Linked DNA regions of Mus musculus. The protein of the gene in region 2 interacts with the protein of the main gene of each other region in a pairwise test. Links are inferred from orthologs where the notes say so. Each region holds a gene or a part of one and is shown on either strand. Other genes may lie near its edges.

Region 1 (4,298 bases), on a different chromosome or scaffold from region 2:
TATTAGCAGGGTGTGGTATGTAGCCACATGCTTTTCCACCTAGAAATAACAACTCTGAGACAATACTTCTGAACAATTGCTTAGGCCAGTAGCTTTGGCCTGTCCCCTGACTCATAACTCAGTTATCCTTGTAAAGTAGTCTGAGTCCAGCCGTGCAGTTGCTTACCTCTCCTCAGGCTCATGCAACCATCTCTTCCAGAGCTCAGGGCGAATCTCCCATCTCTTGTGCCTGTATTTTCCACCCACCTTCTAATCCTGCCTCAGCTCACTGGCCATAGACTTTTTGTTGACAGGTGAATGCTTTTCTAAGAGATTATCTTTACAATGGTGAAGCACCTTTAATCCCAGTGCTCTGGAGCCAGAGGACGTGTGAGGGTCCCAGTTTGAGGCCAGCCTGGTCTACAAAGCAAATTCCAGCTCAAGGCATGACTATGTCTCAAAAAACAAACAAACAAGGAGGTTCGAGAGATGGCTCAGTGCTCTTCCAAAGATCCTGAGCTAAATTCCCAGCAACCGTAGCTTACAACCATCTATAAAGAGTTCTGATTTCCTCTTCTGGCATGCAGGAGTACATGTAGATAGAGCATTCATGTACAAACAATAAATAAATATCAAGAAGAAACAACAAAACAAAAACCTTTAAGGGGCAGTGAGCCTGGTGTGTGGCTCAGGCCTGCCTTTCATTAGTCTGAAACAAGGCAGGAAAACCTGGCCAGTTAAGAGGGGGTAGCCTGGCCTACCTACCTAGTAAATTTAAGAACAATCCGGATAGTAGAGCATGAAACAAAAACAAAAAAAACAAACTAAAAAACCAACAACAAACAAAAAACCCAAAAAGCCACAACAAAACCCTAGCTAGGGTATGTATATAAATGCTATCAAAAACAGGCGGTGGAGTTTTTGTTGTTGACAACCAACTATTGCGGCTGAATTAATACCATGGGAAAATGGTCTGAAAACAATTATTTGAACCAGGATTAGGATAGGTGGCCTTAAAGAAAATGGCCACTTCAGTCTCTCCTTAACGGGGTTTTGAAAAATAAAGAAACAGCTTGCAATCTGAACCTGGGCCTGGGCAGTGACCAAACACCCTAGTCCAGTTAGGAGTCTTAAGCAGTTACGCCCTTCTCAAAGATGGCCGAATTCGCTTCCCTCACTCGAGAAGAACATTCCAACCACTCTCTAGAAATTAGAAGTTAATCTTATCCGTACTACTTCGATGCCAAAATAAAAATGGCAATCTTAACCACTCAGCCATCCTTCCTAGGTGAACACAGACCGGCGCTGGTATTTAGAGGTGTGGTTGCCCGGAGTAAAAATGGCGCCGCCTCCGTCTAGACTTAGCTGGACGTGAAGTTGTGACGTCGCGGCGTTGCCAGTCGGAGGCAGTTCCTGTTGCCCTTGCTAAACATGGCGCTGGCTAGCGTGTTGCAGCGGCCGATGCCGGTGAATCAGCACGGGTTTTTTGGGCTCGGAGGTGGTGCAGATCTGCTGGACTTGGGTCCGGGGAGTCCTGGTGATGGGCTGAGCCTAGCCGCGCCGAGCTGGGGCGTCCCGGAGGAGCCGCGAATCGAAATGCTTCACGGAACCACCACCCTGGCCTTCAAGGTGCTCAGACAGCTCGCGCTTCTCCGGCATCCCAGCCGGAACCGGGTCGGGCGGAGGTTCGGTCCCCTCCTCCCGACCCTTGGCGGGTTCACTGTCTCGTAGCCTTAAGAAAGGAGAGGTGGGCGGAGATAGGGGGCGGTGAGGGAAGGAGACGGACAGCGTGGGTTGGCTCCTAGGCGACCCCAGTTTGCCCCTTTTCAGGAGCCCTACCTGGGAACAGCGGACCGTGGCGGAGGGTGCGGGGGGGAAGCCATTGTCGCCGTTCACCAAAGTTTGTATAAACTGAGCTTGATGAAGTCCAGGGGCTACTGAAGTGGGTACCGAACAGTTAGGGTCCCTGTTCCAGCCCTACAATAACTAGCTCTGGATCTTAGGCTAGTCTTTAAAGATTTATTCTTATTTTTTGTATATACACCACGTGTGTAGTGCTCGCAGGCGCCAAAAGAGGGCGTCGTGTTCCTTGGGACTGGAGTTACAGACCTTTGTGAGCACTGGGAACCGAACCTCTGAAGAGCAGCCAGTGCTCTTAACCACTGAGCTCTCTCTCCAGTCCCCTTAGGGTGTCTTTATCTCATTAAACTTGCTACTTCATATTTAAAGTGAGTAAAAGGGCTATTCATAAATCAGGAACTGCTGTTAAACCCGAATGACATTTAACATAAGAAGTCGATTACGCCGGGTGGTGGTGGCTCACGCCTTTAGTCCCAGCACATGGGAGGCAGAGGCAGGTGGATTTCTGAGTTCGAGGCCAGCCTGGTCTACAAAGTGAGTTCCAGGACAGCCAGGACTATACAGAGAAACCCTGTCTCGAAAAACAAAAACAAACCCCAAACCCCCCAAAAAAGAAGTCGATTCCAAAATCCCAAAAGATGCAAAGCCAGGTTATCTTTCTGTATTTATACAAAAATAAAGTATGGGGAGTATTTGTGGTCTTACGGGGCCTCTCTTTTTGTTTTCTCTGACCTTAACTAGTTTCTCCATGGAGTCATTGTTGCAGCGGATTCCCGGGCCACAGCAGGTGCTTATATTGCTTCCCAGACGGTGAAGAAAGTAATAGAGATCAACCCGTACCTTCTGGGCACCATGGCTGGGGGTGCAGCGGATTGCAGCTTCTGGGAGCGGTTGTTGGCTCGGCAGTGTCGAATCTATGAGCTTCGCAATAAGGAACGCATCTCGGTCGCAGCAGCCTCCAAACTGCTCGCTAACATGGTGTATCAGTACAAAGGCATGGGGCTGTCTATGGGCACCATGATCTGTGGCTGGGATAAGAGAGGCCCTGGTGAGTTGTGTCCTGTGAGCCATGGTGGGAAGGGGTTAAATGGGTGGGAGAATTGAGGGCTTTTAACAGGTGCTGGGAATGGATGCGATATTAGGTTCTCAGCTCTTCCTTCCCTTTCCAAGGAAGGCCTTGTACGGAATAGGAAAGAGCATAGAGTTAGACTTGCTGTGTCACTCACTGCTTAGTCATTTGACCTTAGCCTATTTCTTCATCTGGGAACTGGTTAAGTGAACCATTGAAGCGGTTAAGTGTGGTGCACATAGAGCAATTGGTACAATGTCTGGCACAACAGCTCTCCTTCTTTCCCATGCAATAATGACTAGAAAACATTTGTACTGGGGAATTGTAAACTTTAAAAATTGTGTTCTATTCTAGCCAGGTGTGGTGGCACATGCCTTTAATCCCAACACTTGGGAGGCAGAGGCAGGCGGATTTCTGAGTTCGAGGCCAGCCTGGTCTACAAAGTGAGTTCCAGGACAGCCAGGGCTATACAGAGAAACCCTGTCTCAAAAAACCAAAAGAAAAAAAATTGTGTTCTTTTCTATGCTTGGGTGTTTTGTCTGCATGTATGACTGTGCACCACAGTGCATTCATGGTGCCTGAAGAGGCCAGAGAGGGGATTGGATCCTCTAGAATGCAGTTACTGATGGTTGTGAGCCACATGTGGGTGCTCAGAGCTAAACCCAGGTCCTTGGCAAGAGTGGCCCGTCCTTCTTCCCCCTGCCCTGGGGGCCATCTCCCCAGCCCCCCCCCCACTTTTAAATTTTAAGTTAAATTATTTATTTGTGTGTGTATGTGTGAACAAACACATCCTACAGCATATCTGCAGTTCAGAGGATAACTTGTTCAAGTTGGTTCTCTTGTTCTGTGGGCCGGGCTCAGGACATCAGGCCTGGTGGTAAGCAACAGTTATATGCTGACTCACCTCACTGGCCCTCATTGTAAAAAATAAATAAGCCAAGTGATACACAGCTGTGACCCTAGAGCACTAGGGAGGGTCAAGAGTTCGAGGCCAGCCTAAGCTGTATGGCAGAAGGACAGCCTGGAGCACACAGAAACATTGTATCTCAGAAGTCAGTAAAACTAGTGGAGTTGGTGTATAGTTAATTTTATATAAAATGCCCAAATTATTTCTCAGTACCTGGCGGTAGTACCATTTCAAGTGTTGAAGTCAGTTTCATGCAGTCTCTAGCCACTGTGTTGCATGACAACGATAGGCTACAGAGTTGTCATTTAAGCGTTATCTCCCACCATTCCTGAGTCCTGTGCTTGACTTGGCCAGCATGCTTGCCTTTTGGAGTTGCCGAGAGAGCAGGAGGGATGGTTAACATACTGTGAGGAGAGATGGGTGGTATGGTGCTCTGGAATCTGGAAATCTCAAGATAAATTTGACTCTGTCTTTCTCTGATTT
Region 2 (3,636 bases):
AAAGTGAGAAGCAGGACACAGTGAGAGGTTTACAGTCACTCTGGGGGAAGGGGGCTGGGTGGCATGGAGATCTGGTAAGAACCAGATCTTTAGGGTGAGGGTGACAAGACAAACACTTCAACGTCCTTAGACAGAAGCCCATTCACCCACAAGGTGAAGGATAATGAGTTATTCTACATACCCCCTGTGAAATCCAAGATGCCTGTGGGCCTTCCAACCAGAAAAACAGGTCAGGAGAGTTAGAGAAAGTCAACAGCACAGAGTACAGGCAGGAAACAGGAGAGAGAACAAAGCTGGCCCCCAACACCACCAGCATCTCAGGTGACAGACAGAAGGAACCACAGAGTTGCAAATGGGTTTCAGAGAGGAAGGGGACACCAATTTAAGGTCTATAAAAATACAGGGAAAAGGGAGAAGCTGGGGTGAGAAAATGTCTGCCCTGCTCAGGAGCAAACCCCGCACAGGCCGGAGCCAGAAGACACTGGCTCAGAGAAGGAAGCAAAGTGACAGACATAGGGAACAATGGCTCCCAGCAGCTCAACCTGTACCAGCAGACAAGTGAGGAAAGATGTGGGGCGAGGCAGATCCCTGGGAGTTCAAGGCCAGCATGTTCTACAAAGCAAGTTCTAGGAGGCCAGTTAAAGTTTCTGGTGAGACAGCCTATCTCAAAACTAATTAGTTAGGGATCGATACAATTTTAAGATGGGATTTGAATGTCTGTGACTGCTTCTGATGAGCTGAAGCAAGGAGAGAAGAAAAAGGTGTCCCAGCAGGCAGGGCTGCTGGCAGGGAGCTGTTCCCTGAAGCAGTGTGACGCAATGGGGCCCAGAACCCAGGCAGGGGACAGTTCTCCCAGGCAGAAGGACATCTGCACACAGCTATCCCTTAGCAACAGGCACACCCAGCTGTATATGCACAGCTGCCTGCAGAGGGCAGAGAATCACGAAGGCAGAAAACTATGCTATTCTCAGACACTGCGTCTATGACATGAAGCCGTTCTCCACCTAACAACTTTTCCTATGCGAAGCAGTAACAAGGGTCATGTGCTACAGAGGGAGGCAGGACAGGGAGCATGGAGGGTCAGGTCTGAGAGCCACCATGAGAACATCGGCACAAGGGACAGAGGCAGACTCACCTGCTGCACTGCCTTGAATTCCATCTGTAACTTCAGGGGAGCAAACAGACCCTGGATGTTCCTCAGCGTGGAAAAGTTCATCTTGTCCTGGTTGAGCTGGAACTACAGAAGACAGAGTGACTCTAACCCAAAAGCTCGTTAGTTATGAAGGGAGCAACACTGTTCTGAACACGCGACACCAACAATCCTGAAGCCAAGAGTTAACATTTCTTGATAGATTTTATAACATTTATGTCTCTGCATCTGTGTGTGTGTGTGGCATGTGTATGTGTGGTTTTCATGTGTGTTCACGTATATGTATTCCTGCAGACACCGGACAGAGTCAACGCCAGGTTTCTCCTCAACAGTCCCGTGTTATTTTGTGAGACAGGGTCTCTCACTGAACCCAGAACCCAGAGATTCAGCTAGGCCAGCCAGTGATCACCAGGGATCTGCCCGCCTCCCCTCCTGTATACAGTAACGGCACCCCAAGTGTCTTCAAATATGGCTGTCTGATCTCAAAGGGCCCATACCTACTTCTAATTTTCTACCACGGGATAAAAAGACATAGGGCTGGAGAGATGGCTCAGTGGTTAAGAGCTCTGAAGGTCCTGAGTTCAAGTCCCAGAACCCACATGGCAGCTCACAATGTCATGATGCCCTCTACTGGTATGCAGAAGTAAATGCTAACAAAATACCAATATACCTAAGATAGTTTGTTTTAAAAAAGAAAGACACATAACACACTCACGTTTTTTTCTGATAACTCGAGAGGGTGACTGGGCAAAAGTTCATTTTTCACACAAGAAAACCTAAAAGGAAAAAAAAACCCACAAATATTTAACAGGCTCCTATGCATATTGCTCTATCATAGCTCGAAGCTGTACAGGTGAACATCCATCTTTTTGGTTTTCTGCTCAGAGGGGGCTACAGTGCAATTTTCTTTGATCACCCCAAATCCGGGTTATCTGACACCAGGTGCTTCCACCATGCTGCCCAAGTTTGGCCCCAACAAGATCAAAGTCGTACGTGAGGTGCACCAGAGGCCAATTTGGTGACACAACTGCCTCGGCCCCCAAGATCAGTCCTCTGGGTCCATATCCAAAACAAGTTGGTGATGACACTGCCAAGGCTACTGGCGACTGGAAAAGTCTCAGGGTTACAGAGAACCTGACCAATCAGAACAGACAGGGCCAGACTGAGGTGGTGCCCTGTGCCTCTGCCCTCACCATCAAAGCCCTGGAGGAGCCACCAACTAACAGAAAGAAGCAGAAGACATTAAACTCAGTGGAAATAACACTTTTGATGAGATTGCTAACCCTGCCCATCAGACACAACACGGGTCTCTGACCAGAGCACTCTCTCCTGGGTACTGCACAGTCTGTGGACTGGAAGGTGGATGGCCGCCACTCTTATGACAGCATAGATAACATAAACAGTGCAACAGTAGAATGCAAGCTGATTAGAAAGCAACAAGGAAATATTTCAATAAAAGACAGCACATGTAACTGTGGAGTATCTGGGGCGTGGGGTGGAGCTCAGTGGGTGAACGTGTTTTCAGCAAGCATGAGGCCTGGGACACGATCTCAATTGACACACCCAGTCACCTAGTCACCTAGTCTGGTGGTGGGGGCTATAATGCCAGCCCCTGAGAGGCAAAGGCTGGCGGGTCTCTGAGTTCGAGGCCAGCCTGGCCACAAAGCAAGTTCCACAATAGCTAGAGCTACACAGAGAGAAACCTTGTCTTGGAAAAAACCACCACCCCACCACCCCCCAAAAACCCTAAGTGTGCAATAGGTTTTCTGGGGGAGAGAACACTGATGTCATCTTGATGGTGCCCCTCAGTATAGGGACAGAACGTTTGTGGAAATACATATAACTATGAATGAAAGGCAGCCAGACTCCTCACGCATCTGTTACAGACACTGCTGCTATACAATGACATGGAGGCTGTGAGGGATTGGATATGCTTGGCCCAGGGAGTGGCCCAAGAGGTGAATTTCAAAATATGGTATTTTGGTGATGAACGTGGCGACATTTTGCACTTGTCTGAAGAGTCTGCCTGAGGTTAAGGTGAAGAGACTCAGATTAATTGCACTGACAAAGGAAGTCTCAAAAACACCTATCATAGACTCTGTTCTCTGGCTAAGTCTCATGAAGAGCACTTTAAGTAAGTGTAGCAAGCTGAGAAAGGAAAAATATAAAATCTATTGTTTGAATACTAAAGGGGCACCAGGAAGTGAAATGGAGCTGAATCCTATGCGCAAGGAGATTAAATTGAATTAAGGGAGTAGTGAGTGATCTTGGGGCAAGATTCCTTGCAGCTAAATTTAGGTCAGGCGTGGTAGTACAAGCCTTTAATCCCAGGAGGCAATGAATATCAGGTCTCTGAGTTCAAGGCCAGTCTAGAACAGAGCAAGTTCTAGGTGAAGAAAATCTTAAATCCGGGCTTGGTGGACCACATCTTTAATCCCAATGCTTAGGAGACATGCCAGCAGATCTCTGTGTTCAACGTCAATCTA

Evidence for each region.
Region 1: the proteins of Pomp (region 2) and Psmb5 interact in binary tests that used the Homo sapiens proteins (3 or more experiments, as listed by UniProt). The link is inferred for Mus musculus from reciprocal best matches to the Homo sapiens genes POMP and PSMB5.

Annotation. Positions count from the first base shown.
Region 1 is NC_000080.6:54,615,104-54,619,401, reverse strand, and holds the start of Psmb5 (proteasome subunit beta type-5), read left to right. Parts: upstream 1-1,406; 5' UTR 1,407-1,410; coding exon 1,411-1,608; intron 1,609-2,580; coding exon 2,581-2,887; intron 2,888-4,298. UniProt on the Homo sapiens protein: Component of the 20S core proteasome complex involved in the proteolytic degradation of most intracellular proteins. This complex plays numerous essential roles within the cell by associating with different regulatory particles.
Region 2 is NC_000071.6:147,867,013-147,870,648, reverse strand, and holds part of Pomp (proteasome maturation protein), read right to left. Parts: intron 2,834-3,636; exon of another isoform or gene 1,927-2,833; coding exon 1,866-1,926; exon of another isoform or gene 1,718-1,865; intron 1,238-1,717; coding exon 1,136-1,237; intron 1-1,135. UniProt on the Homo sapiens protein: Molecular chaperone essential for the assembly of standard proteasomes and immunoproteasomes. Degraded after completion of proteasome maturation. Mediates the association of 20S preproteasome with the endoplasmic reticulum.